Saccharomyces cerevisiae S288C: one gene and its partners. The protein of the gene in region 2 binds, or shares a complex with, the protein of the main gene of each other region. Each region holds a gene or a part of one and is shown on either strand. Other genes may lie near its edges. The genes, in order: RSC6, RSC2, RTT102 and RSC30.

Evidence for each region.
Region 1: RSC2 (region 2) and RSC6 share a complex: the UniProt entries of both Saccharomyces cerevisiae proteins name them as parts of the two forms of the RSC complex.
Region 3: RSC2 (region 2) and RTT102 share a complex: the UniProt entries of both Saccharomyces cerevisiae proteins name them as parts of the two forms of the RSC complex.
Region 4: RSC2 (region 2) and RSC30 share a complex: the UniProt entries of both Saccharomyces cerevisiae proteins name them as parts of the two forms of the RSC complex.

Annotation. Positions count from the first base shown.
Region 1 is NC_001135.5:211,573-219,461, forward strand, and holds RSC6 (Rsc6p), read left to right. Parts: upstream 1-3,421; coding exon 3,422-4,873; downstream 4,874-7,889. Other genes in the region: ARE1 (sterol acyltransferase), read left to right, coding at 357-2,189; YCR050C (uncharacterized protein), read right to left, coding at 1,892-2,200; YCR051W (uncharacterized protein), read left to right, coding at 2,499-3,167; threonine synthase THR4, read left to right, coding at 5,125-6,669; CTR86 (Ctr86p), read right to left, coding at 6,804-7,889. UniProt on the Saccharomyces cerevisiae protein: Component of the chromatin structure-remodeling complex (RSC), which is involved in transcription regulation and nucleosome positioning. RSC is responsible for the transfer of a histone octamer from a nucleosome core particle to naked DNA.
Region 2 is NC_001144.5:835,093-844,500, reverse strand, and holds RSC2 (Rsc2p), read right to left. Parts: upstream 3,171-9,408; coding exon 501-3,170; downstream 1-500. Other genes in the region: adenylosuccinase ADE13, read right to left, coding at 1-219; YLR358C (uncharacterized protein), read left to right, coding at 451-1,014; ATG33 (Atg33p), read right to left, coding at 3,587-4,180; ILV5 (ketol-acid reductoisomerase), read left to right, coding at 5,248-6,435; sedoheptulose-7-phosphate:D-glyceraldehyde-3-phosphate transaldolase TAL1, read left to right, coding at 7,144-8,151; BUD8 (Bud8p), read right to left, coding at 8,338-9,408. UniProt on the Saccharomyces cerevisiae protein: Component of the chromatin structure remodeling complex (RSC), which is involved in transcription regulation and nucleosome positioning. RSC is responsible for the transfer of a histone octamer from a nucleosome core particle to naked DNA.
Region 3 is NC_001139.9:1,041,342-1,044,249, reverse strand, and holds RTT102 (Rtt102p), read right to left. Parts: upstream 975-2,908; coding exon 501-974; downstream 1-500. Other genes in the region: RNH70 (Rnh70p), read left to right, coding at 1-431; TAF1 (histone acetyltransferase), read left to right, coding at 1,155-2,908. UniProt on the Saccharomyces cerevisiae protein: Probable component of the chromatin structure-remodeling complex (RSC) which is involved in transcription regulation and nucleosome positioning. RSC is responsible for the transfer of a histone octamer from a nucleosome core particle to naked DNA.
Region 4 is NC_001140.6:210,296-219,378, forward strand, and holds RSC30 (Rsc30p), read right to left. Parts: upstream 7,540-9,083; coding exon 4,888-7,539; downstream 1-4,887. Other genes in the region: CIC1 (Cic1p), read left to right, coding at 553-1,683; YHR052C-B (uncharacterized protein), read right to left, coding at 2,224-2,397; metallothionein CUP1-1, read right to left, coding at 2,240-2,425; YHR054C (uncharacterized protein), read right to left, coding at 2,890-3,954; YHR054C-B (uncharacterized protein), read right to left, coding at 4,222-4,395; metallothionein CUP1-2, read right to left, coding at 4,238-4,423; peptidylprolyl isomerase CPR2, read right to left, coding at 7,931-8,548; mediator complex subunit MED6, read right to left, coding at 8,702-9,083. UniProt on the Saccharomyces cerevisiae protein: Component of the chromatin structure-remodeling complex (RSC), which is involved in transcription regulation and nucleosome positioning. RSC is responsible for the transfer of a histone octamer from a nucleosome core particle to naked DNA.

The DNA of each region.
Region 1 (7,889 bases), on a different chromosome or scaffold from region 2:
TTTCCGTACCGCACCTTTTTAGCACTACTTTTTTACTATGCTCTTCTTCTTCTGCTTCTTCTGCTTTTTTCCTCTTTATCACACTATGTATGTGCTGCTCATCTCTTCTTTTTATCGATAAAATTGAAAAATGTGAGATGGTGTAGAGTGAAAAAAAAAAAAAAATCTGGCTTGGCCATCAAATACCCGGCCGTGGTTGGACTCGTTTAGCGAACAATAGCACCCAGCAGACCCTGGCAACATGCGGATGATATAAGAAGGACGAGCGTGGTGGAGGAAAGGGGCGCCATTGGCACACTCACGCAGGTGGTTGTTCAGCACGGCTTGCAGCAAGAGCGCCAAAACAGATTGCAAGAATGACGGAGACTAAGGATTTGTTGCAAGACGAAGAGTTTCTTAAGATCCGCAGACTCAATTCCGCAGAAGCCAACAAACGGCATTCGGTCACGTACGATAACGTGATCCTGCCACAGGAGTCCATGGAGGTTTCGCCACGGTCGTCTACCACGTCGCTGGTGGAGCCAGTGGAGTCGACTGAAGGAGTGGAGTCGACTGAGGCGGAACGTGTGGCAGGGAAGCAGGAGCAGGAGGAGGAGTACCCTGTGGACGCCCACATGCAAAAGTACCTTTCACACCTGAAGAGCAAGTCTCGGTCGAGGTTCCACCGAAAGGATGCTAGCAAGTATGTGTCGTTTTTTGGGGACGTGAGTTTTGATCCTCGCCCCACGCTCCTGGACAGCGCCATCAACGTGCCCTTCCAGACGACTTTCAAAGGTCCGGTGCTGGAGAAACAGCTCAAAAATTTACAGTTGACAAAGACCAAGACCAAGGCCACGGTGAAGACTACGGTGAAGACTACGGAGAAAACGGACAAGGCAGATGCCCCCCCAGGAGAAAAACTGGAGTCGAACTTTTCAGGGATCTACGTGTTCGCATGGATGTTCTTGGGCTGGATAGCCATCAGGTGCTGCACAGATTACTATGCGTCGTACGGCAGTGCATGGAATAAGCTGGAAATCGTGCAGTACATGACAACGGACTTGTTCACGATCGCAATGTTGGACTTGGCAATGTTCCTGTGCACTTTCTTCGTGGTTTTCGTGCACTGGCTGGTGAAAAAGCGGATCATCAACTGGAAGTGGACTGGGTTCGTTGCAGTGAGCATCTTCGAGTTGGCTTTCATCCCCGTGACGTTCCCCATTTACGTCTACTACTTTGATTTCAACTGGGTCACGAGAATCTTCCTGTTCCTGCACTCCGTGGTGTTTGTTATGAAGAGCCACTCGTTTGCCTTTTACAACGGGTATCTTTGGGACATAAAGCAGGAACTCGAGTACTCTTCCAAACAGTTGCAAAAATACAAGGAATCTTTGTCCCCAGAGACCCGCGAGATTCTGCAAAAAAGTTGCGACTTTTGCCTTTTCGAATTGAACTACCAGACCAAGGATAACGACTTCCCCAACAACATCAGTTGCAGCAATTTCTTCATGTTCTGTTTGTTCCCCGTCCTCGTGTACCAGATCAACTACCCAAGAACGTCGCGCATCAGATGGAGGTATGTGTTGGAGAAGGTGTGCGCCATCATTGGCACCATCTTCCTCATGATGGTCACGGCACAGTTCTTCATGCACCCGGTGGCCATGCGCTGTATCCAGTTCCACAACACGCCCACCTTCGGCGGCTGGATCCCCGCCACGCAAGAGTGGTTCCACCTGCTCTTCGACATGATTCCGGGCTTCACTGTTCTGTACATGCTCACGTTTTACATGATATGGGACGCTTTATTGAATTGCGTGGCGGAGTTGACCAGGTTTGCGGACAGATATTTCTACGGCGACTGGTGGAATTGCGTTTCGTTTGAAGAGTTTAGCAGAATCTGGAACGTCCCCGTTCACAAATTTTTACTAAGACACGTGTACCACAGCTCCATGGGCGCATTGCATTTGAGCAAGAGCCAAGCTACATTATTTACTTTTTTCTTGAGTGCCGTGTTCCACGAAATGGCCATGTTCGCCATTTTCAGAAGGGTTAGAGGATATCTGTTCATGTTCCAACTGTCGCAGTTTGTGTGGACTGCTTTGAGCAACACCAAGTTTCTACGGGCAAGACCGCAGTTGTCCAACGTTGTCTTTTCGTTTGGTGTCTGTTCAGGGCCCAGTATCATTATGACGTTGTACCTGACCTTATGAACTGCCACCATACCACGTGTGTCCCTCGCAAGCCCTTGATAGATATACAATAGGGAATGGGCGTCCGCTCCACCGTGGTCAAAGACAGGGGCAAAGAGCTCCTAGGTCTATATATATATCTATATACATATTTATATATATTATTAGAACTTTACAATATAGTATATACCATTCATTGTTTAAGTTTCGGGTAATACTTTTTTTTTCCTTGTCATAACCCCAAAAATTTTCGATGCCTTTGATATAATTGAGAACAAGAAGAGTTTGCAGGTGACAAAAATCGATGATTATAGGTGTTGTGACGACAAAATGAACGCTAATATATGGGTGGCTGCTTCAGATGGTAATTTGGACCGAGTGGAACATATCCTCCGCGAGAGTAAAGGCGCCATGACCCCGCAATCCAAGGACATTAACGGCTACACTCCAATGCATGCTGCCGCCGCATACGGCCACCTGGATTTGCTGAAGAAAATGTGCAATGAGTACAATGGAGACATTAATGTGTTGGACAACGACGGCGATACCCCGTTGCACCATGTGGAGGATGTGGCCACTGCCAGGTTGATCGTGGAAGAGCTGGGTGGAGACTTCACTATCAGGAATGTGGAGGGCCAAACGCCATACGACTCGTTCGTCGAGAACGGTGAAGATGGTGAGCTAATCGAGTACATGAGGATTAAGTCCGGCGTGGCCGATGTTCACGGAGTGGACGGCGTGCAGGGTGAGGGTGTCATCGACAGCAAATTGCTGGAAGAGTTCAAGGACAACGTGAGATACACCTTGGAAAATGACCCTGAGGAAGGAGCCGATGAGGCCACTCTGCAACGCAGGAGGCAGTTGGAACAGATCATTACGGGAGACAACGCTGAGGAGGAGTTGGAAAGGTACATCCGTGCTATGGTCAGAGAGCAGATGCTGGGCCAGGGCTCCATGGCGGGTTCCGGGGACGAACCAGATTCCAAGAGAAGAAAATAACGACCCAGCACAAAGGCTCTTACAGCTTGCTAAAAGAAATTGAACGCGACGCTACATGAACTACTTCTTTCTCTTACATAGTCTTTTCCCTTATGTATCTTTTCTGTACATTAATAGACGTTCTTACAAGGTAAAATTTCACCGCGTTTTTAAATAGAATGAAAAAAACGTTGTAGAGTGAAAGAAAAGCAACAAATATACAGTTCACAAGGCAGCTTCGTATAGTAATACAGCACGAAAAACAGCTCATAGAAATGGTAACACAGACCAATCCGGTCCCTGTTACATATCCAACGGATGCTTATATCCCCACGTATCTGCCCGATGATAAGGTCTCCAATCTGGCAGATTTGAAAAAATTGATAGAAATGGATTCCAGACTAGATTTGTATCTGACAAGAAGGAGGCTGGATACGTCCATCAATTTACCTACAAACACCAAGACCAAGGACCATCCCCCCAATAAAGAGATGCTGAGGATTTACGTCTACAACACTACGGAAAGCAGCCCTCGCAGCGATTCTGGCACCCCAGCGGACTCAGGCAAGACTACATGGACACTGAGAATAGAAGGTAAGCTTCTGCACGAGTCCGCAAACGGAAAGCACCCATTTAGTGAGTTTTTGGAAGGTGTCGCGGTCGACTTTAAAAGACTGAAACCGCTGGGCATGGGCAAGAAGAGGAAACGCGATTCGTCATTGAGCCTTCCTTTGAATCTGCAACAACCCGAATACAATGATCAAGATAGCACCATGGGCGATAACGACAACGGCGAGGATGAGGACAGTGCAGAGGCAGAATCCAGGGAGGAAATTGTAGACGCACTGGAATGGAACTACGATGAAAACAACGTTGTGGAGTTTGATGGTATCGACATCAAGAGGCAAGGCAAGGATAATTTGCGATGCAGTATAACCATCCAGTTGAGGGGTGTCGACGGTGGAAAAGTACAGTACTCGCCCAACTTAGCTACCTTGATAGGTATGCAAACGGGCTCCGTTAATGACGCGGTTTATTCGATCTACAAGTACATTTTGATCAACAATCTGTTTGTTACGGAACAAACAGAGGCTCAAGATGGTTCCAACGATGCCGAAGACAGCAGTAACGAGAATAACAATAAAAACGGTGCTGGTGACGATGATGGCGTCGAGGGAAGTACTCCAAAGGATAAGCCCGAATTGGGTGAAGTGAAGCTAGATTCACTCTTACAAAAGGTATTGGATACAAACGCCGCGCACCTCCCCTTGATGAATGTTGTGCAAACCGTGAACAAACTGGTATCACCCCTACCGCCCATCATCCTAGATTATACAATTGATCTTTCCAAAGATACCACCTATGGTGCTACCACCTTGGATGTAGATGTGTCGCACATTCTCCACCAGCCTCAACCCCAGCCAAATTTACAAAAAGAGGAAGAAACAGATGCTGAAGACACAGCAAAACTACGTGAAATCACAAAGCTTGCCTTGCAGTTGAACTCTAGTGCTCAAAAATACCAGTTTTTCCACGAACTGTCTTTGCATCCAAGAGAAACGCTGACTCACTACTTATGGTCTTCCAAGCAAAACGAGCTTGTGCTGCAGGGCGACCAATACTTCAATGAAGATGCTGCAAGAACGAGTGACATATACAGTAACAACAACAATGACAGGTCACTAATGGGCAATATCTCACTACTGTACTCCCAAGGAAGACTATAACATCACTGTATGATCTCATTCTTTCTGCAATTATTGCACGCCTCCTCGTGAGTAGTGACCGTGCGAACAAAAGAGTCATTACAACGAGGAAATAGAAGAAAATGAAAAATTTTCGACAAAATGTATAGTCATTTCTATCAATAACGTATACACGTTTTTTTAATACTATCTATATTGTGTATCTTATATTTTTCCATTTGGTAGTATAGCAGCAAATATTTGTTCTTAGACGGCCACCATCCCTCACACCAATGCCTAACGCTTCCCAAGTTTACAGATCTACCAGATCCAGCTCTCCAAAGACAATCTCTTTTGAAGAGGCTATCATTCAAGGTCTGGCCACTGACGGTGGTCTTTTCATTCCACCAACTATTCCACAAGTGGACCAAGCCACTCTTTTCAATGATTGGTCAAAGCTCTCCTTCCAAGACTTAGCCTTTGCTATCATGAGACTATACATTGCCCAAGAAGAGATTCCAGATGCTGATCTAAAGGACTTGATCAAGAGATCTTATTCTACTTTCCGTTCTGATGAAGTCACCCCCTTGGTGCAAAACGTCACTGGTGACAAGGAGAATTTGCACATTTTAGAATTATTCCACGGTCCTACCTACGCTTTCAAAGACGTTGCTTTACAATTTGTCGGTAATCTTTTTGAATACTTCTTACAAAGAACCAACGCCAATTTACCTGAAGGCGAGAAAAAGCAAATCACTGTGGTCGGTGCTACTTCCGGTGACACTGGTTCTGCAGCCATCTACGGTTTAAGAGGCAAAAAGGACGTTTCCGTTTTCATCTTATATCCAACCGGTAGAATTTCCCCAATTCAAGAAGAACAAATGACCACCGTTCCAGATGAAAACGTCCAGACTTTGTCTGTTACCGGTACTTTCGACAACTGTCAAGATATCGTCAAAGCTATTTTCGGTGACAAAGAATTCAACTCTAAACACAACGTCGGTGCTGTTAACTCCATCAACTGGGCAAGAATCTTGGCCCAAATGACCTATTACTTTTATTCATTCTTCCAAGCCACCAACGGTAAGGACTCCAAGAAGGTCAAGTTCGTTGTGCCAAGTGGGAACTTCGGTGATATATTGGCCGGTTATTTTGCCAAGAAAATGGGTTTGCCTATTGAAAAACTGGCCATCGCTACCAATGAAAACGACATTTTGGACAGATTTTTGAAATCTGGTCTATACGAAAGATCAGACAAGGTTGCTGCTACTTTATCCCCAGCAATGGATATCTTAATCTCTTCTAACTTTGAAAGACTACTATGGTACCTAGCTCGTGAATACCTAGCTAATGGTGATGATTTGAAAGCCGGTGAAATCGTCAACAATTGGTTCCAGGAATTGAAGACCAACGGTAAGTTCCAAGTTGACAAATCCATCATTGAAGGCGCATCAAAGGACTTTACATCAGAAAGAGTTTCCAATGAAGAAACATCTGAAACAATCAAGAAGATCTACGAATCATCTGTAAATCCAAAACATTACATCTTAGATCCTCACACAGCTGTCGGTGTTTGCGCCACAGAAAGATTGATTGCAAAAGATAATGACAAGTCCATCCAATACATTTCTCTATCTACCGCTCACCCAGCTAAATTTGCCGATGCTGTAAACAATGCATTGTCTGGATTTTCCAATTATTCATTTGAAAAGGATGTTTTGCCTGAGGAATTGAAGAAACTATCCACATTAAAGAAGAAATTAAAATTCATCGAAAGAGCTGACGTTGAATTGGTCAAAAACGCTATTGAAGAAGAACTTGCTAAAATGAAATTATAAGATCTTCCTTTTTAATGAATATATTTTATCTTATATAACATATAGAATTCTATAATTAATAGAGAGTATGAAGTACGATTATCCTTAATGTTAATCAAAGTGAATCATGATTGCGAGAGTAAGGAACCATAAAATTAATCTTCATCTATGCTAATAATCTCAGAATTCTCGTTCCCAGGGTCTTCTTCTTTAGATACTAATCTAACTTTCCCGCCCTTTTCAACTGATATTTCAAACCCAGCTTTGCTCAATGCATCGTCTTGAACAACGTCTTGAGCTTCCATTTTTTTGACATATTCCTGATTCTTGGCATTATTCTTTAACAAAAACTTCAAGCAAACAATAGATCTTTCCTTGATAAACGGATCATTATCATCGATGACACAATTGGAAAGAATTAATGCAAGACCACCTAATTCTCTTATTTGATCTTGGATTTCAGGATGTGCATACACTAACGATGCCAATATTTCGATTATTACTAATTTACAATGGGGAAAATTATCAGCCCTAATAAAGGATTCGTTGGTATTAACACGGTTGAAAATTAATAACCGGTCCTCGATTTTGTTACCTTCATGATCTGTGATTTTAATTTCATTCACCGTATCACCGTTTCCTTTCAAAAAATTAATCCTCAACAAATTCTTTTGGAAAGTATCCAAGAGAGATACCAATATTTTCACAGAGTCATACGAAATTAAGAATTTTCTAACATGATTGAATTTGCACAAGTCAGAAATTATGTCCAGGCAAGAAAGTAAAGTGGAGTGTAATTGGATGGCAACTGAAGGAGCATAATCGTTACAACTTTTATTGAAAAAGGCAGGAATATCCTTGCATGCAAGACGTTGCAGAATGGGGTAGCACCATGACATAATTGCAGTCAACTCATAGGTATTCCAATCTTCTTTACTCGTTACAACCAATTGCAATATCTGCAACAAAGTGGTGAATTTTCCTGGCTGTCTTTCTTCTAACCCATTGAGGTATTTACCAAAAGAAGCAGTTGTAAGACTTTTGCTAATACATTCTAAGACAGATAGGTCAATAGAAGTTATTTCCAATTTTGAATCATCCAGATAGTTTCTGCCCTTCTCAATTAAAAAGGAATTCTCTTGATCCTGGATGAATTTGGCTGTCACTATATCGAAAAATATTCTATCCCTAACACAATAATAGTCTTTCTGGGGTGTATCATTATCCCTGAAAAATTCGTT
Region 2 (9,408 bases):
TTTTGCGATTTCATCATCAGTGATTTCGACGTGTTTGCGCATTTGCTCAATTGCTTCATCTGTAACAACAGTTAAGCCCAATTCCTTCTCAGCAATAGCCAAATTTAACCATAGTTTTCTCCATGTGGAAAATCTGTTTCTCAAAGAAAACGTTGCTGACATTTCCTTGGAGGCATATCTAGAAGACAATGGCGTAGTGTAATTGTCATAGTCAGGCATCTTTTATATAATTCGGATAGTTTATTTCACTTTAGTTGTAGCAACTTACTGGAAAAGCTTTGGTCCTTGGGGAAGAAATTTTGAGAGGTTGGTGATGAAGTATAATTGTTTTATATGGCTACTATTAATACAACGATAATATATCTATAGATGACTTTCTTCTATATAATAACTTCTGTTTTATTTCATTTTCCTGCTTTGTTTGAAGTTTGACTCTGCTCGCGGAGGGTAATGCGCAATGGGAAGATATTATGCTGCCATTGCTTTTACAATAAAGGTGATCATGAAGACGACGAAGGAGGCCGCAGCATAGAGAGTCTGTGCGCCGTGAACTTAGCCGAGGGTCTTAATCCAAGGACAAATGGGCCTGGCAAGGACTCTTTCTCATTTTCAACATCCGGTTCTAAGCCATCATCATCTTTGTCCTTTCCAGTCACATCTTCCATGGTTTCTTCAACTTCTTCGTATTCTAGTTTTCTTTTCTTGTTAGTGGTAAACCACCTATTCAGTGGCAGGCTTAGGTGTGGGTCACCTGAATTTATTATTCGTTCATTTACTATCACACTAGGTCCTCTGAACCATAATATTTCACCCTTTGTTTTTTTCCATGGAAACATCTCTTCTCTTCCAGATCTCTTGGTTTGGCTGTGCAGATCAGTACGCTGCAAAACATCTACGTTTTTGGTTATAGAGATAGGTAAGACAAACGAGGAGGCTGCATCGATCATTATATTACCCAAATTACCTCTTGATGCCTGCGATGTTAAATCATCGATTATTGTTGGGATATTATAACGTGATGCTTGGGATCTTTTCTGTTGTTGGTATTGATGTTGCTGCTGTTGTAACCTTTGCAATTGGTGTTGCTTTAAACCTTGTACAGTAAGCGGGCCTCCCGCGCCAGGGGAACCAACTCTTGACAGTGGTATTTGTTGCTGGCCAATAGCATTTTGGTTTTCTAAAGACATAGATGACCTGTTATATCTTAAACTGGATAGTTTACTACTTGAGTATCCTGTTTTAGGAAGAGCATTTGCTGTTGGCGTGTTTGTGGTGATCGTACCTGTTTCTATATCCACTTGTCCCTCTTCGGGAGAATCGTTGGGTCTGATAATATACCTGGGACAGTCATCAGAGGTTGCATATTCCCCCAAATCGTCACGCTGCATTTTAGGTCTCATATAAACGGCACCGACCAATGGTGGCGCGTCCGGGGATCCCATCGTTGGTTCAGGAACGCGATCATGCGGCGTTGCATTAGCTGGTAGTAGATGTCTTATGGGGGAAGGATATTTGAAGAACTTTCTACCATTTACCGGAATGGTAGCTTCGTCCAAATCACGAATTTCCTCTGGTAAGCAAGCCTTCCAGGTTCTAATCTTGTTAAAAATTTTATCGGATTCATTATAACGGAATTCGCAAACGAACAAGGGACCCTCCAATTTCATATCGGGATTACCACGTTGATATCTAGTAAAGTGAATCACATAGCATTTCCCAACTAAGTTTGACACTAAATGATCACGGTACTGACCTGTTTTCATAACTTCGTTTTTGTAAAACAATCTATCCACTCTATGCACAGTTTGTTCGGGTCTGTAATACCAACAAGCGTTTAACCATTGTTTCCCATCTGGTGTCTTCCATAGCCTGAATATTTGGCCCACTATAGGTTTTTGAGGATCATTTTGATTTCGAAGAAGTGCCCAATCTCCCACGTGGTATGATATATTATTTACAATGACTTCATCTAGAGGGTATCTTAGCTCGCCTTCTGGAATGAAACTTCTATCAGGTTTGGATAGTTCGAATCTTGCCAGACTAGTAAAGGTCTTTTCTAAGATATTTGAAATTTTTATGCTTTCAGGATCACCTCTGTGCGAAATTCTAAAGTTGGTTAACATAAGATTAAAATCATTCTGGAACTCCTGGAACGTTTTATAACGACGAGTCTTTACCTTTTTATTTATGTCTTGAAGACTAATTGGATTAGCAATCATGATGTAGTAATTTGCATCTCTGTGTCTATCGGGCAATCTTTCAAAAAGATCAGTTAGACCAATTCCACTATCTAGCACCTCTTTTTTTAGTACTTTCATAACATTTTTCATTCTTTGAATATACGGTAAGTCGATGATTGGGGGTCTCCCACGCTTTACCTGAGTTCTGGATACCTGTCTATGCCTTGGGCCTAACGGCTGAGGGGTGCCTGAGTGAGATGGAGTAGTGGACCTGTTGTCTCTTAATGGTTTCCGAGTATATGGATTAATATTTATTAGTGGCTTTCTTATCAAATCAGGAAAATCAGCATCCTTAGGGTTATCGATATCCATATCCGTCGCCTCATAGTCCTCATCATTATTTGTATCGGTTCCTGGTTCTGATTCTCTTTTGACGGAAGTACGAGTCTTTCTTAATCTTCTGGCTGCTTCTGTTGAATTCATTGAAGAGCTCGACTCGGCTCTGGCTGCATTAGCTCTCGCTACTTCCTCAGCTTTTTCTCTTAATTTCTGTTGAAACTCTTCATAACCTGGTTCATCGGGTAGAGGACCCAAATCAGGATACACTAATTGAGGATATTTTTCTTTTAAATTTGGATAGATTGTGTCCTTTAAATATTTCTCAAGGACTAAGGCGTATTTATAAATTCCTGAATCTCTTGTATTGTAAGTCTTGGCATTCCATGGAATCTGGACAACATCGTTCATAAACTGTTGAGCATCTGTATAATGTGGAATACGCTTTTTTAAAGTATTGAAAGATACAGGGTTCTTGATCACTGCGTAGTAGTCAGGATAATCCTTTTTAGGTGGAAGGACATTGAATATTGGTGAAATCTCTAACCCAGAATCTTCCTTTAAAGTGAAAAGAGATTCATATTCTTTCCTCAGGTCCTTGTATAATGCGCTTGAGTTTTGAGTGGACGAGTTTGAATTGTCATCAGGCATCATGCACTGTCAATGTAGAATATTCTCCGCTTCGTCTGGTTCTGCGCGACGTGCTGTATATTTGATCACGTATTGAACTGTTACCAATACTTTTTTCAGCTGTGTTGTTTTCTCTATTTTCTCACTTTAACATGCGAATTTTCGCACGACTCTCGGCCGGGTGAGAAAAGTCAGTGACAGTAATAAACCAAGTGCAAGAGCACCTACAAATGTGCTTATTACAGTGTATTATTATGTATATATGTGCATACGTGTGTGTATGCACAATTTTTGAACATACTGTCTTTTGAACGTTTGAAAACTCGTAGGAATATATAAAAAAACTGCAAATTACTACACACTTTATTTTTGGAGAGAGAGAGGAGCCGAGTTCAGGCAGCTACAAATTCTTGTAGAGATAAATACGTGAACGAGAAACACTAGATAAATTGTCCTTCCCCATAAACGCCAATAACGGCTTGTACAAAGCCAACAATAGCAATAGCAGTTGCTGCAATTAGATTTTTAGTATGGATTGGGGGACCGGTGTGCAATGCCTCTGCCGGCTTTGATACTGTGGTTGCTGCAGGCTTCCCGTCTCGAGGTGTATTTTCTGAAGCATGGTTGTCTTCACCTAAATCAATAATAGAATCGCTCAGTTCGGAAGCAGCGAGTTTGCTGTCTTCGGGAAATAAAGAAGATTCCTTAGAGACTTTACTGTACTTTCTAGACTGATAGTTGGAGGCACATCCTAGAACAAATGAAGATAATGGAGCTACAAGCATACCATAGAGTAAGTAGGGGTGTCTCAATGAGGGAGGAGCGCCGAAAAAGCTCACACAAAAGAAAGTTGACGCAAACGCTCCCAAGGCGGTGGCCGCATTTTTCAAAGTGGTTAAAGTGGGAGTAAGGGATCCTGTTAAAACCTCTAGTGGAGTAGTAGATGTAATCAATGAAGCGGAAGCCAAAAGACCAGAGTAGAGGCCTATAGAAGAAACTGCGATACCTTTTGTGATGGCTAAACAAACAGACATCTTTTTATATGTTTTTACTTCTGTATATCGTGAAGTAGTAAGTGATAAGCGAATTTGGCTAAGAACGTTGTAAGTGAACAAGGGACCTCTTTTGCCTTTCAAAAAAGGATTAAATGGAGTTAATCATTGAGATTTAGTTTTCGTTAGATTCTGTATCCCTAAATAACTCCCTTACCCGACGGGAAGGCACAAAAGACTTGAATAATAGCAAACGGCCAGTAGCCAAGACCAAATAATACTAGAGTTAACTGATGGTCTTAAACAGGCATTACGTGGTGAACTCCAAGACCAATATACAAAATATCGATAAGTTATTCTTGCCCACCAATTTAAGGAGCCTACATCAGGACAGTAGTACCATTCCTCAGAGAAGAGGTATACATAACAAGAAAATCGCGTGAACACCTTATATAACTTAGCCCGTTATTGAGCTAAAAAACCTTGCAAAATTTCCTATGAATAAGAATACTTCAGACGTGATAAAAATTTACTTTCTAACTCTTCTCACGCTGCCCCTATCTGTTCTTCCGCTCTACCGTGAGAAATAAAGCATCGAGTACGGCAGTTCGCTGTCACTGAACTAAAACAATAAGGCTAGTTCGAATGATGAACTTGCTTGCTGTCAAACTTCTGAGTTGCCGCTGATGTGACACTGTGACAATAAATTCAAACCGGTTATAGCGGTCTCCTCCGGTACCGGTTCTGCCACCTCCAATAGAGCTCAGTAGGAGTCAGAACCTCTGCGGTGGCTGTCAGTGACTCATCCGCGTTTCGTAAGTTGTGCGCGTGCACATTTCGCCCGTTCCCGCTCATCTTGCAGCAGGCGAAATTTTCATCACGCTGTAGGACGCAAAAAAAAAATAATTAATCGTACAAGAATCTTGGAAAAAAAATTGAAAAATTTTGTATAAAAGGGATGACCTAACTTGACTCAATGGCTTTTACACCCAGTATTTTCCCTTTCCTTGTTTGTTACAATTATAGAAGCAAGACAAAAACATATAGACAACCTATTCCTAGGAGTTATATTTTTTTACCCTACCAGCAATATAAGTAAAAAATAAAACATGTTGAGAACTCAAGCCGCCAGATTGATCTGCAACTCCCGTGTCATCACTGCTAAGAGAACCTTTGCTTTGGCCACCCGTGCTGCTGCTTACAGCAGACCAGCTGCCCGTTTCGTTAAGCCAATGATCACTACCCGTGGTTTGAAGCAAATCAACTTCGGTGGTACTGTTGAAACCGTCTACGAAAGAGCTGACTGGCCAAGAGAAAAGTTGTTGGACTACTTCAAGAACGACACTTTTGCTTTGATCGGTTACGGTTCCCAAGGTTACGGTCAAGGTTTGAACTTGAGAGACAACGGTTTGAACGTTATCATTGGTGTCCGTAAAGATGGTGCTTCTTGGAAGGCTGCCATCGAAGACGGTTGGGTTCCAGGCAAGAACTTGTTCACTGTTGAAGATGCTATCAAGAGAGGTAGTTACGTTATGAACTTGTTGTCCGATGCCGCTCAATCAGAAACCTGGCCTGCTATCAAGCCATTGTTGACCAAGGGTAAGACTTTGTACTTCTCCCACGGTTTCTCCCCAGTCTTCAAGGACTTGACTCACGTTGAACCACCAAAGGACTTAGATGTTATCTTGGTTGCTCCAAAGGGTTCCGGTAGAACTGTCAGATCTTTGTTCAAGGAAGGTCGTGGTATTAACTCTTCTTACGCCGTCTGGAACGATGTCACCGGTAAGGCTCACGAAAAGGCCCAAGCTTTGGCCGTTGCCATTGGTTCCGGTTACGTTTACCAAACCACTTTCGAAAGAGAAGTCAACTCTGACTTGTACGGTGAAAGAGGTTGTTTAATGGGTGGTATCCACGGTATGTTCTTGGCTCAATACGACGTCTTGAGAGAAAACGGTCACTCCCCATCTGAAGCTTTCAACGAAACCGTCGAAGAAGCTACCCAATCTCTATACCCATTGATCGGTAAGTACGGTATGGATTACATGTACGATGCTTGTTCCACCACCGCCAGAAGAGGTGCTTTGGACTGGTACCCAATCTTCAAGAATGCTTTGAAGCCTGTTTTCCAAGACTTGTACGAATCTACCAAGAACGGTACCGAAACCAAGAGATCTTTGGAATTCAACTCTCAACCTGACTACAGAGAAAAGCTAGAAAAGGAATTAGACACCATCAGAAACATGGAAATCTGGAAGGTTGGTAAGGAAGTCAGAAAGTTGAGACCAGAAAACCAATAAAGAGGAAAATAATATCAAGTGCTGGAAACTTTTTCTCTTGGAATTTTTGCAACATCAAGTCATAGTCAATTGAATTGACCCAATTTCACATTTAAGATTTTTTTTTTTTCATCCGACATACATCTGTACACTAGGAAGCCCTGTTTTTCTGAAGCAGCTTCAAATATATATATTTTTTACATATTTATTATGATTCAATGAACAATCTAATTAAATCGAAAACAAGAACCGAAACGCGAATAAATAATTTATTTAGATGGTGACAAGTGTATAAGTCCTCATCGGGACAGCTACGATTTCTCTTTCGGTTTTGGCTGAGCTACTGGTTGCTGTGACGCAGCGGCATTAGCGCGGCGTTATGAGCTACCCTCGTGGCCTGAAAGATGGCGGGAATAAAGCGGAACTAAAAATTACTGACTGAGCCATATTGAGGTCAATTTGTCAACTCGTCAAGTCACGTTTGGTGGACGGCCCCTTTCCAACGAATCGTATATACTAACATGCGCGCGCTTCCTATATACACATATACATATATATATATATATATATGTGTGCGTGTATGTGTACACCTGTATTTAATTTCCTTACTCGCGGGTTTTTCTTTTTTCTCAATTCTTGGCTTCCTCTTTCTCGAGTATATAATTTTTCAGGTAAAATTTAGTACGATAGTAAAATACTTCTCGAACTCGTCACATATACGTGTACATAATGTCTGAACCAGCTCAAAAGAAACAAAAGGTTGCTAACAACTCTCTAGAACAATTGAAAGCCTCCGGCACTGTCGTTGTTGCCGACACTGGTGATTTCGGCTCTATTGCCAAGTTTCAACCTCAAGACTCCACAACTAACCCATCATTGATCTTGGCTGCTGCCAAGCAACCAACTTACGCCAAGTTGATCGATGTTGCCGTGGAATACGGTAAGAAGCATGGTAAGACCACCGAAGAACAAGTCGAAAATGCTGTGGACAGATTGTTAGTCGAATTCGGTAAGGAGATCTTAAAGATTGTTCCAGGCAGAGTCTCCACCGAAGTTGATGCTAGATTGTCTTTTGACACTCAAGCTACCATTGAAAAGGCTAGACATATCATTAAATTGTTTGAACAAGAAGGTGTCTCCAAGGAAAGAGTCCTTATTAAAATTGCTTCCACTTGGGAAGGTATTCAAGCTGCCAAAGAATTGGAAGAAAAGGACGGTATCCACTGTAATTTGACTCTATTATTCTCCTTCGTTCAAGCAGTTGCCTGTGCCGAGGCCCAAGTTACTTTGATTTCCCCATTTGTTGGTAGAATTCTAGACTGGTACAAATCCAGCACTGGTAAAGATTACAAGGGTGAAGCCGACCCAGGTGTTATTTCCGTCAAGAAAATCTACAACTACTACAAGAAGTACGGTTACAAGACTATTGTTATGGGTGCTTCTTTCAGAAGCACTGACGAAATCAAAAACTTGGCTGGTGTTGACTATCTAACAATTTCTCCAGCTTTATTGGACAAGTTGATGAACAGTACTGAACCTTTCCCAAGAGTTTTGGACCCTGTCTCCGCTAAGAAGGAAGCCGGCGACAAGATTTCTTACATCAGCGACGAATCTAAATTCAGATTCGACTTGAATGAAGACGCTATGGCCACTGAAAAATTGTCCGAAGGTATCAGAAAATTCTCTGCCGATATTGTTACTCTATTCGACTTGATTGAAAAGAAAGTTACCGCTTAAGGAAGTATCTCGGAAATATTAATTTAGGCCATGTCCTTATGCACGTTTCTTTTGATACTTACGGGTACATGTACACAAGTATATCTATATATATAAATTAATGAAAATCCCCTATTTATATATATGACTTTAACGAGACAGAACAGTTTTTTATTTTTTATCCTATTTGATGAATGATACAGTTTCTTATTCACGTGTTATACCCACACCAAATCCAATAGCAATACCGGCCATCACAATCACTGTTTCGGCAGCCCCTAAGATCAGACAAAACATCCGGAACCACCTTAAATCAACGTCCCATATGAATCCTTGCAGCAAAGCCGCTCGGTGTTCTTTATTCATAAGCAACCTCATTAATCTATAGTCTGAAACTAATTTCCTTCTTGAGCTGCAGCCAATAATAAAAAATAATGGCGGCACTATACTACAACATAGGAGGATCACAATGATGTTTTCGATGCTGTAAACGTCCCTGAATCCATTTTGACCTGAATCAAACGAATGAATGGAAGCGGTATCGATATGTTGAATTGGCATTCTCGCCTCCAGGTCTATATTTTCAGCATCGTGCCTGTCTTCTTTCCTATTATCAGTTTTTTCTTGTTGCTTTCGTCGTATGCTTCGAGCTGGCTTTTCTATAATGGAGTTCTGTCCCGTGTCTGACTCCGAGCTTTGAGATTTAATTGGAGCTAGCACGAGGGGTTGTCCATGTTCTGGCAACGTTTTATTTTTCTTCTTGTTCATCTTGGTCAATGGAGAGGGCGTCTTGTGTCCTTCATAGCGTGAAAATGGATCAGACTTAGTTGAATTTCCAGATTCTAAGCGTAAAGGTGTCTTCGTCCATTTGCTTGGTCCGGACACACTTCTTAATACGGGAATTGAAGGTAGTCCAATTGGTGGACCTTCTTCTTCTAGGGATGTGGAGGGCTTGCGCGTAGATTTTGAACTGAATTTTTCTTCATTATTATGCCCTATATGGTCTTTAGGAGAACTTTCGTTACTACTGTCACTATTGTGTGAAGGAATCAATATGTTACCAATTAACGATGGACTCTGAGGAATTTTAATCTTCCTTGCCGACGTACCTGGCGCACCTGGCGAATGCGAATCATCACTTGTCGACGACTTTATTGATCCAGCCTTCTCTGGAATTTTTAGTTTGTGCGGTATAAATTTTGATTCATTCACAGGTTCGTATTGATCTATGACTTCATCCTCGGTCTCGCCTTCACCTTTACTGCCAGTTGAGCTTAT
Region 3 (2,908 bases), on a different chromosome or scaffold from region 2:
TTAAAAATCATACTGAGGACGATTCTAAGGGCCAGTTAATCCGTTGCGTCGAAGATGATGAGACATGGACCCATATTCACGAGAATCTAAATAAAGATGTCAAACTTATTGTGGGGAGAATCAAGAACTTAGAGAGGTCACGCAACTATAATAAAAAGCCACGGAAGGAAACTCCTTCGTTCGATGCGTCCATGGTTCTTCATGATATAGGGCAACATCTAACACAATTATACGAGAATGCTACACCAGGTACTATGATTTTGATCATGTCGGGTACAGGCGACACAAGACCATGGAACAATCTTTCAACTGAGTTAGAGTTTATTCAAGACAAAAAGGAAAGATTAGATAAAAGACGCGAAAGGGAACCTGAAATAGTAGAAGCCATAAAGTTAGCCCGGGGTGGTGTAGCATCCTTTACTGTAAAATAATTCTATGTGTATAAATATATAAATATATATATATATATATATATATATATATGCATAATACTTTTCCTTTTAATTCATTTTCACATCTTTACTCTCCTTTGTATTATCATTGTTCACTCCCGCAGATAACCCAGGAATGGCTTCACTATTACCGACAGCGCCTCTTATATCATCCACACTAAGAGCTTCATCTCCTTGATTAGCAGAAGGAGCACCGGTGGCCTTACTTGTATCACCCTTAGTGTGCGATGTCATCAACGACTTTTTCAGTATTCTTCTATCAAATTCTTTCAAATCTAATATATCCTCACAGCTCTCCCTCTGTAGATTTTTCTCATCTTCCTGGTTCCTCAACCATGTTTTATACCTGAATGGATATTTCTCCAAGTTATTCTCCATGTCCCCTAGCTGTTGTTGTGGTTGCTGCACATTGGAGCTCACCTTAGATGGTTGGTACCAATCATACCTCCATGATTCCTTACTCGTAGGGTTGCCATAGTAAGAAACCTTATTGGCCTTAGTAATGAGCGTCTGTGGGTCCATTTTCTCTATCTCTTGCTGACGTAGCTCTTTCTTTCCAACATTAGGTTTTATCGCCTTGTTCATTAATAAACTAGTCGATAATTTCATTTCGCGGCGATGGTTTTCAAATGTGCTTTTAAGAGAATAAATAGCATTTTAAACACAGAGAGAAAAAGAAGTACAACAGGAGTATAAGGCGATATGGTAAAGCAGCAGGGATCCGGCAAGACCAACTTGGCCAACGAAGATGAAGCATATGAAGCTATTTTTGGCGGAGAGTTTGGCTCTTTAGAAATCGGGTCATACATTGGCGGGGATGAAGGTGCCAATTCAAAGGACTATACGGAGCATTTGCCGGATGCTGTAGATTTTGAAGATGAAGATGAACTTGCTGATGACGATGACGATTTGCCAGAAGAATCTGATGCTAATTTGCATCCAGCTATGATGACTATGGGCGCGTATGATGATGTAAACGAGAACGGTGCCGTACTCGGTATCGACTCAAATAGTTTGAATATGCAACTGCCTGAAATTAATGGTGATTTGTCTCAACAGTTTATTTTGGAGGATGATGGGGGTACTCCCGCAACTAGCAATGCTTTGTTTATGGGAATGGATGCAAATGAAATTCATCTCGCCACTGAAACTGGAGTTCTTGATGGTAGTGGCGCAAATGAAATTGGGCATTCTCAACTTTCCATTGGTGGCGTTAATGGAAATGATATGTCGATAAATGGTGGATTTATCATGGAACCAGATATGTCAGATGGCAAGCATAAGAAAGCCACCAAATTAGACTTGATAAACCATGAGAAGTATCTTCTAAAAAAATACTTTCCTGATTTTGAAAAGGGTAAAATTTTAAAATGGAACAAGCTGATTTATAGAAGATCTGTTCCTTATCATTGGCACAGTGAAATATCTAGGGTAAAGAAACCGTTTATGCCTTTAAATTTGAAATTCAAGGTTCAACAGGATGATAAGAGGCTATTCAACTCAAGGACAATATCTTACGTCGCTCCGATTTATCAAGGGAAAAACAATTTACTTCAAAGTAACTCTTCTGCATCCCGAAGAGGTTTAATTCATGTTTCCATTGATGAACTTTTCCCTATCAAAGAGCAACAAAAAAAAAGAAAGATTATTCATGATGAAAAGACCATATCGGAAGACTTGCTTATTGCCACTGATGATTGGGACCAAGAAAAAATCATCAACCAAGGTACTTCATCAACAGCAACCTTGGCGGATTCGTCTATGACACCCAACTTAAAGTTCTCCGGCGGTTATAAATTGAAGAGCTTGATTGAGGATGTTGCTGAAGATTGGCAGTGGGATGAAGACATGATCATTGATGCAAAATTGAAAGAGTCTAAACATGCTGAATTAAATATGAATGACGAAAAACTGTTGCTGATGATTGAGAAAACAAATAATTTAGCGCAGCAAAAGCAACAACTGGATAGTAGTAACTTGATATTGCCCCTCAACGAAACTATTTTGCAACAAAAATTCAATTTATCTAATGATGATAAATATCAAATCTTGAAAAAAACCCATCAAACAAAAGTTCGTTCTACCATCTCGAACTTAAATATTCAGCATTCTCAACCTGCGATTAATTTACAATCTCCATTTTACAAAGTGGCTGTTCCTAGATACCAGTTGAGGCATTTCCACCGTGAAAACTTTGGTTCGCACATCAGACCAGGTACTAAAATTGTCTTCAGTAAGTTAAAAGCGCGTAAAAGGAAAAGAGATAAAGGTAAAGATGTCAAAGAATCATTTTCTACATCTCAAGATCTAACCATCGGGGATACTGCTCCTGTTTATTTAATGGAATATTCTGAACAAACACCGGTAGCTTTGTCTAAATTTGGTATGGCCAATAAATTAATTAATTATTATCGGAAAGCCAATGAACAAGATACTCTAAGGCCCAAATTGCCTGT
Region 4 (9,083 bases), on a different chromosome or scaffold from region 2:
TATTATTTGTTTTACCCTTTATGGATATTCATCCACTCAGAAACTAATATATCAAAATCAACGATAAGATCACAAGAGGTGAAATAAGAAAAGTAAAAGAAAAATATTTAAATTTAACCATTATGATTTCCACTTTGTTTTCTCTACTCTATTACTTGAACAAACTTTATTTTTGGTAATGAGGGCTGGTCACAGATTACCTTTAATATCCTTTGTTAGTAGCTTTTTTGTGTTCTATTTCAGGAAAGAAGAATGGGAAAAATAATAAAACAATAAATAACTATATAAAAAACAAAAACCTAGAATATACCATTAAAGAATTACTATTCTATTCTGTGCTTCACCGTTGCGTCAATAAATGTGAAGTTGATGTCACTTCATACTAAAAAAATTAAAGACAATTTCCTGAAAAAAATTTTTCCACTGGAGCTCATCGCAAATTTTGAAAAGTAACAAAAAGCGTTTGTATACTGCATAAAGAATAGTGTCTGTTTTATAAGAAATATTAGACAGCAGGCAGATAAACCTACGTTCCAGACTATAAAGTATAAAATGGCTAAAAAGAGTAACTCAAAGAAATCTACGCCTGTAAGTACACCAAGCAAAGAAAAGAAGAAGGTTATTGAAAAGAAATCTTCCACAGCCATTCCTAGGGAAAGAGTTATTAAAGCTGTCAACGAGCTTATAAAATTCACTTCCAAGCCACAAGATGAAAATAATGAAGAAGGAAATAACGGTAAGAAAAACCTATTGGAAGATGATGAAGAAGAATTGAAGAAAGATCTGCAATTAATCGTAGTAAATAATAAATCATTCACCGGTACTTCCAAATCATTCAAATTGAAATTACTAAATGTCAAACATTCGTTTTACAAGCCTTGGAAAGAAGCCAGTGCAACAGCGGTTAAGGATTTCAAAGTTTTATTAATTTTGAAGGATTCTGATATTAAGAAAGTTTCAGAAGATGATTTATTTGATCAATTAGATTCAGAAGGAATCAAGGTTGATGAAATCATTTGCGGGAAAGACTTAAAGACCGTTTACAAGGCATATGAGGCTAGAAACGCTTTTATATCTCAGTTTTCTTTGATTTTGGCTGACGACAGTATAGTTACATCTTTGCCAAAACTTATGGGAGGCAAAGCCTACAACAAAGTAGAAACTACTCCTATATCAATTAGAACACATGCAAATAAGGAATTTTCCTTGACCACTTTGACGAACAATATCAAAAAGGTTTACATGAATCAGTTGCCCGTTAAACTTCCAAGAGGTACCACGTTGAATGTCCATTTGGGTAATTTAGAATGGTTAAGGCCAGAAGAGTTTGTAGATAACGTTGAATTAATTTCTGAACAGTTAATCAAAGCATACCAAATCAGATCCATTTTTATCAAGACCAATAGGTCGCCCGTATTGCCATTATACTATAACCAGGACGTTCTTGATGAACTTGAAGCTAAAAAGGACAAAATCGAAGAAACCCACGAAGATGACATGGTCACCATTGATGGTGTACAAGTTCATTTGTCTACCTTCAACAAGGGTTTGATGGAAATCGCCAATCCTTCCGAATTGGGTTCAATTTTCTCTAAACAAATTAACAATGCAAAAAAGAGATCTTCTAGCGAGCTTGAAAAAGAATCTAGCGAGTCAGAAGCTGTCAAGAAGGCTAAAAGTTAATTTGTTTCCTCCTTATCTATCTTTTCTCTCATTTTTTTCTTGTGAAGAAAAAAATTTGAATTTCATAGAGTGCGGTGCATATGTATATATCTATATATGTTTGAAGTGTATATTAAAAATAAAGTCATTATTTGAATATTGGTTTCTCGGTCTAAGAGCTTATACGTTTTAGACTGATCTGTTGTACTATCCGCTTCAAATAAATAGATCATTGAAAGTGACGGGGATAACAGCATTTTACCTTTAAAAGACGTTCTCATAATACATTTTAGGATTAATACATATGCTTTTTTTTTATTCGAAATCTGGGGATTCTATACAGAGTTGTAAGTTAGGCAAACTAGAATTTGGTAATAATATTTTATTCTTGGGGCGACATATGGAGATACTTTATTTCCTTTTCTTAATTATTAACGTATACCTATAAATTAACAAAGTATCTAAACAAAATACATAAGTGTACTCAAACTGAGTAGAATCGTCGATTAAACTTCCTTCTCCTTTTAAAAATTAAAAACAGCAAATAGTTAGATGAATATATTAAAGACTATTCGTTTCATTTCCCAGAGCAGCATGACTTCTTGGTTTCTTCAGACTTGTTACCGCAGGGGCATTTGTCGTCGCTGTTACACCCCGTTGGGCAGCTACATGATTTTTGGCATTGTTCATTATTTTTGCAGCTACCACATTGGCATTGGCACTCATGACCTTCATTTTGGAAGTTAATTAATTCGCTGAACATTTTATGTGATGATTGATTGATTGATTGTACAGTTTGTTTTTCTTAATATCTATTTCGATGACTTCTATATGATATTGCACTAACAAGAAGATATTATAATGCAATTGATACAAGACAAGGAGTTATTTGCTTCTCTTTTATATGATTCTGACAATCCATATTGCGTTGGTAGTCTTTTTTGCTGGAACGGTTCAGCGGAAAAGACGCATCGCTCTTTTTGCTTCTAGAAGAAATGCCAGCAAAAGAATCTCTTGACAGTGACTGACAGCAAAAATGTCTTTTTCTAACTAGTAACAAGGCTAAGATATCAGCCTGAAATAAAGGGTGGTGAAGTAATAATTAAATCATCCGTATAAACCTATACACATATATGAGGAAAAATAATACAAAAGTGTTTTAAATACAGATACATACATGAACATATGCACGTATAGCGCCCAAATGTCGGTAATGGGATCGGCTTACTAATTATAAAATGCATCATAGAAATCGTTGAAGTTTGCCGTAGTAATACCCAGATTATCAGATTCCAAATCCTTGTCAATAATTATACTCCTTTGGACAACTTCTCTTTCCATTAAAAAATCTGAAATCTCCTTAAATTTTAAATAGATTCTGTTCAGTTCACTAACGGGGAATTTCAAGAGAACATTTTTGTTCTTCGCCGACTGACTATAATCTGTAACATTATTGTTATCAGAGTTTCTCGCAAAATTTTGTTTTTTCTTGCTAAATCTCAGCATATATTTAATCAGATTCAAAACCTTGTTGAAACCTTTAATAGATTTGAAACTTCCGTTGCTATTCATTTCATCTCGTAAAAAGGATACGATAATTTCTATTTTTTTTAAAATTTCCAAAATCTTGTCATGAATCAATAGCAATTGAACATTAATCTCCTCATTTGAAAGATTTTTGTAAAATTCGTCATATAATATTACTTCACAACGTTGGAAAATAGCAAATGTGATTGCTATAAAATTCTGTAAGATTTCAATAAAATGATTTGCGAATAAAAATTCTTTACCATTAGAATGAAAGCGATTATTGCCGCTTGAAAATGACTTTATCGACTTTATGGGGAAGATAAAATTAAATGTTATTGAGTAAAAAATGTGCATATTAGAAATAATTTTCATCAGATCCTTTGCACATCTTTCAGAGTTCGAGGTCTTATTGTTGTTAGAAGAATGTTGAACTGCCATGGACAAAGAGGATTCGTTTTGAACAAAAAGGAAAAAATTTGTATAAACAATGGTATTGATAAAATTTAAAGTGTCTTTCCATTCTTTTCTGACTTCGTTGTCATGAAAATATAAGTCTACTGTATTACTCACGCCCATAGTCAAGGTTTCTAACAGACTTTCAATTTTGGTTAAATTTACTGGCAAGTAGAAAGGAACACCTTGCAGAATATTTATCAATTTTGCTTGCGTTTCCAGTAATTTTAAATCGTTAGCAATTAAAGGAATGTCGTTCGTATCAATAGAGGCAGGTATCGGAGATAGGTTTTCAGCAGCGGGTACCATGAATAGCTTTTTTTTTTTTTTTTATTCGAAATCTGGGGATTCTATACAGAGTTGTAAGTTAGGCAAACTAGAATTTGGTAATAATATTTTATTCTTGGGGCGACATATGGAGATACTTTATTTCCTTTTCTTAATTATTAACGTATACCTATAAATTAACAAAGTATCTAAACAAAATACATAAGTGTACTCAAACTGAGTAGAATCGTCGATTAAACTTCCTTCTCCTTTTAAAAATTAAAAACAGCAAATAGTTAGATGAATATATTAAAGACTATTCGTTTCATTTCCCAGAGCAGCATGACTTCTTGGTTTCTTCAGACTTGTTACCGCAGGGGCATTTGTCGTCGCTGTTACACCCCGTTGGGCAGCTACATGATTTTTGGCATTGTTCATTATTTTTGCAGCTACCACATTGGCATTGGCACTCATGACCTTCATTTTGGAAGTTAATTAATTCGCTGAACATTTTATGTGATGATTGATTGATTGATTGTACAGTTTGTTTTTCTTAATATCTATTTCGATGACTTCTATATGATATTGCACTAACAAGAAGATATTATAATGCAATTGATACAAGACAAGGAGTTATTTGCTTCTCTTTTATATGATTCTGACAATCCATATTGCGTTGGTAGTCTTTTTTGCTGGAACGGTTCAGCGGAAAAGACGCATCGCTCTTTTTGCTTCTAGAAGAAATGCCAGCAAAAGAATCTCTTGACAGTGACTGACAGCAAAAATGTCTTTTTCTAACTAGTAACAAGGCTAAGATATCAGCCTGAAATAAAGGGTGGTGAAGTAATAATTAAATCATCCGTATAAACCTATACACATATATGAGGAAAAATAATACAAAAGTGTTTTAAATACAGATACATACATGAACATATGCACGTATAGCGCCCAAATGTCGGTAATGGGATCGGCTTACTAATTATAAAATGCATCATAGAAATCGTTGAAGTTTGCCGTAGTAATACCCAGATTATCAGATTCCAAATCCTTGTCAATAATTATACTCCTTTGGACAACTTCTCTTTCCATTAAAAAATCTGAAATCTCCTTAAATTTTAAATAGATTCTGTTCAGTTCACTAACGGGGAATTTCAAGAGAACATTTTTGTTCTTCGCCGACTGACTATAATCTGTAACATTATTGTTATCAGAGTTTCTCGCAAAATTTTGTTTTTTCTTGCTAAATCTCAGCATATATTTAATCAGATTCAAAACCTTGTTGAAACCTTTAATAGATTTGAAACTTCCGTTGCTATTCATTTCATCTCGTAAAAAGGATACGATAATTTCTATTTTTTTTAAAATTTCCAAAATCTTGTCATGAATCAATAGCAATTGAACATTAATCTCCTCATTTGAAAGATTTTTGTAAAATTCGTCATATAATATTACTTCACAACGTTGGAAAATAGCAAATGTGATTGCTATAAAATTCTGTAAGATTTCAATAAAATGATTTGCGAATAAAAATTCTTTACCATTAGAATGAAAGCGATTATTGCCGCTTGAAAATGACTTTATCGACTTTATGGGGAAGATAAAATTAAATGTTATTGAGTAAAAAATGTGCATATTAGAAATAATTTTCATCAGATCCTTTGCACATCTTTCAGAGTTCGAGGTCTTATTGTTGTTAGAAGAATGTTGAACTGCCATGGACAAAGAGGATTCGTTTTGAACAAAAAGGAAAAAATTTGTATAAACAATGGTATTGATAAAATTTAAAGTGTCTTTCCATTCTTTTCTGACTTCGTTGTCATGAAAATATAAGTCTACTGTATTACTCACGCCCATAGTCAAGGTTTCTAACAGACTTTCAATTTTGGTTAAATTTACTGGCAAGTAGAAAGGAACACCTTGCAGAATATTTATCAATTTTGCTTGCGTTTCCAGTAATTTTAAATCGTTAGCAATTAAAGGAATGTCGTTCGTATCAATAGAGGCAGGTATCGGAGATAGGTTTTCAGCAGCGGGTACCATGAATGAAGACTGACCTAGAAGCGAATGTCTTGAGTAATACATTTTTTTCAAAAAATGGAATAACTTGAAATCTTTTATCTGGAAGCTTAACAGACAGCTCAAATCTTCGTCTAAACTTGATTTATGATCATCATGCATGTACAGAGATTCATAAAATTTTGTGATGGCAATAAATTTGATTGTCTCTTGGTCATAATATTCCAGGTTTATCAATGTGATTTGGCTTCGAATCAACCTCAAATTATTCATTAATGCCGAAACATGGTTATTAATAGCCTGCTTATTGAATAGGGTCATTGAATCGTTTAACAACAGTAGAAGCACAGTTAATTCGCCTAGTTTGGTCAGTTGAGATAAAGGAAGATCGACCGTTGAGAATGAAGGACAGGTATCACCATTTGGAAAAGAGTTATGAACAAATTCTAGTAAGAGGGTTTTGTCAAAGATTGGCAAAAATTCTTCAATATTCAGATTGTTAAGGGATTCAGAGTTTAGTGTCTCAATAATTATTGCTTTTGGTGGGAAGTTAACTTTGCAAACTTCCATATATTGTTGGTGATTTTTATTGTTAGGAGGACTTACTTTGAACTGATTAATATGGCAGATATCGTGCAAAATATTATAGAACTTGAAAAGATAATGATCTCTAAAAATGATGAAGTTTTTAGTGAAAAGGTAGTTGGGGGTATCCTTCAACGGTTTCACTTGGACTAAACTTTGCACATCTGTTATTGTGAGCGCTGTAAAGTATTTTTGTGAGGACTGAGAAGTCCTTGAAGTCTGATGATCAAATCCGGCTCTTTTACCGTCAACCTTGCCTTTCTTAGAATTCTCACCTGTTTTGTTAATTTTGTTTGCCGTGGTATTGTCGGCATTTAAATTCGATTTTTCTTTCAAACTTTTCAGTTGCAAGCTTTGTAAATCAAGCAATTTGTTTTTTAAAAAGTCTATCTCCTTGATTAATACTTCCTCTTGAGTAAACGGAGAAGTCATTAGATCGAAAACGGCCGAGTCTTGATTGATACCAACATTAAAAGAGTATGGGTTATCTGTATAGTCAAAACTTTGAGCGTTAACCAGTTGTAATCGTGTGTTATATTCTCTAATCTGATCCATGGAGGGCACATCTGGACTATCGCTTCTCACAATAGTGTTTCCATGAACATTACTACTAACGGTACTACTATTCTGACGAGGAGCAGTATTATTATTGGTGTTATTATTCTGGTAGCTAGCGGCCTTGGTCCACTGCATCGCAGTATCCACAGAGGGGTTGAACGAGAAGTTGAATGCCTCTATCGACGTTTGCATAATCGGATACTGCGTTTGAATCATTACGTTTTTCTGATTTACACCGTTTCCCTGACTAAAATGGTTGGAACCTTGGCCATTGCCGTGCGTGGACATCCCGGACGCAGAGGGCACAGCGACCATCTTACCAGGTCCATCTGGATAAAAACAGTCCGGCTTGTTATACTTGACGCAATTCCCACATATCGGTTTTGCCCTGTCGCACCCGATCTTTCTCTTCCTGCATTGGGTGCAAGCAGGCGGCTTCCTCACTTTTCTCACTTGCATGTCCATCATGATTAAAAACAAACGGCAAAGCTACGCACTAGTCACAGCAGACAACGACAATGCTCCTCTCATAAATTGCTAAGATACATTAAAAACAACAACTCTCTTCTTGTTCTTCCTCTCTTTGCATCATTCCTGCAAAATATCACACTACACGAGCTAGGATGTATAACCATCCTTAGTAGGACGCCAAGGTTATATTCAAAATGATATGATTTCCCCAATTAATACTTGCTGTTGCATTTTGAATCGGATGTAACTGGGACTAATGCTGCGCTAACCAGACGTACGTTCCGGTGGTCACAGTGCGGAACTGTTCCCACGTTCTCTAGTTAATTTACCTTTAACTATACATACTGAAATTGATATCTATGTATATAGTATGAAATATTGCATATACTCAAGAAGAGAGCTCAGGCGTCCACTCACCGCATTTTGCGATCTTGACCGCCTCGAGAGGTTTGTCATTCGCATCTCTGGACACGTGCTGTATGTAGTTCACCACATCCATGCCGTCCACAACCTGTCCAAATACCACATGCTTTCCATCGAGCCACGACGCTTCTTCCGTAGTGGTGATGAAGAACTGAGATCCATTGGTATCTTTACCACGATTAGCCATCGATAGTCTGCCCTTGCGATCATGCTTCAAAGTAAAGTTTTCGTCAGGGAAAGTATCTCCATAGATGGATTTGCCACCAACGCCAGTGCCGTCTGTGAAGTCCCCTCCCTGTACCATGAAGTTGGGAATCACCCTATGGAAAGTGGACCCGATGAACCCCTTTTTGGAATTAGTGGTGGTGCTTAACTTGTAGAAGTTCTTCGCCGTCTTAGGACATACCTTTCCGTACAACCCAATAACGATTCTGCCAACTTTCTCTTCACCATGTTCAATATCGAAAAACACCTTTTGTGTAATTACTTCGTCGTCCTGATCAATCAACTCACCCACATCAGATGCAATAACATTAACGCTAAGGAATAATAACAACCAACACCACAAGCCACTGAATTTCATTTTGTTTTCCCTTCGTGTCTTTTTCCTCTCATTTCTTTCCTTTTGGGGGAACTTCTTATGATGGGTACATCGATTTTTGAAGAAAACTGAAAAGTTGATTTCGCGGGGTTTTATAATATAGTACAAAGATATATGCAATTGCCATGGCAGTTCTCATATGTAGTTTGGGGTGGATCGAATGCTTGTGACCATTAATTTGTCCAACATCTCTGTAGTTATACCCATGTTACCGTTGCCAGTACGACCGGTACCGTTGTCTATAGTTTGTCCTCCTGTACCCATAGTGTTGACTGTCATGTTGACATTTGTGGTTGAGGGAACAGTCGCCATATTGGCACCGCCGGTAGGTCGTACACTGCTCTTGTTACTGCCCCCTCCAGCGTTGTTCCCGTTGGTGGCAGCCGTTGCAGTCGTGCTAGTGTCCGTAGGTACTTTATAGTGTACTCCTTGGGAAGGTTGAAACTCAATCAAGTCATACAAGCTCTCCAATGTGCTATTTAGATGGTAGCTCGTGGACATCAGCCTACTTTGCACA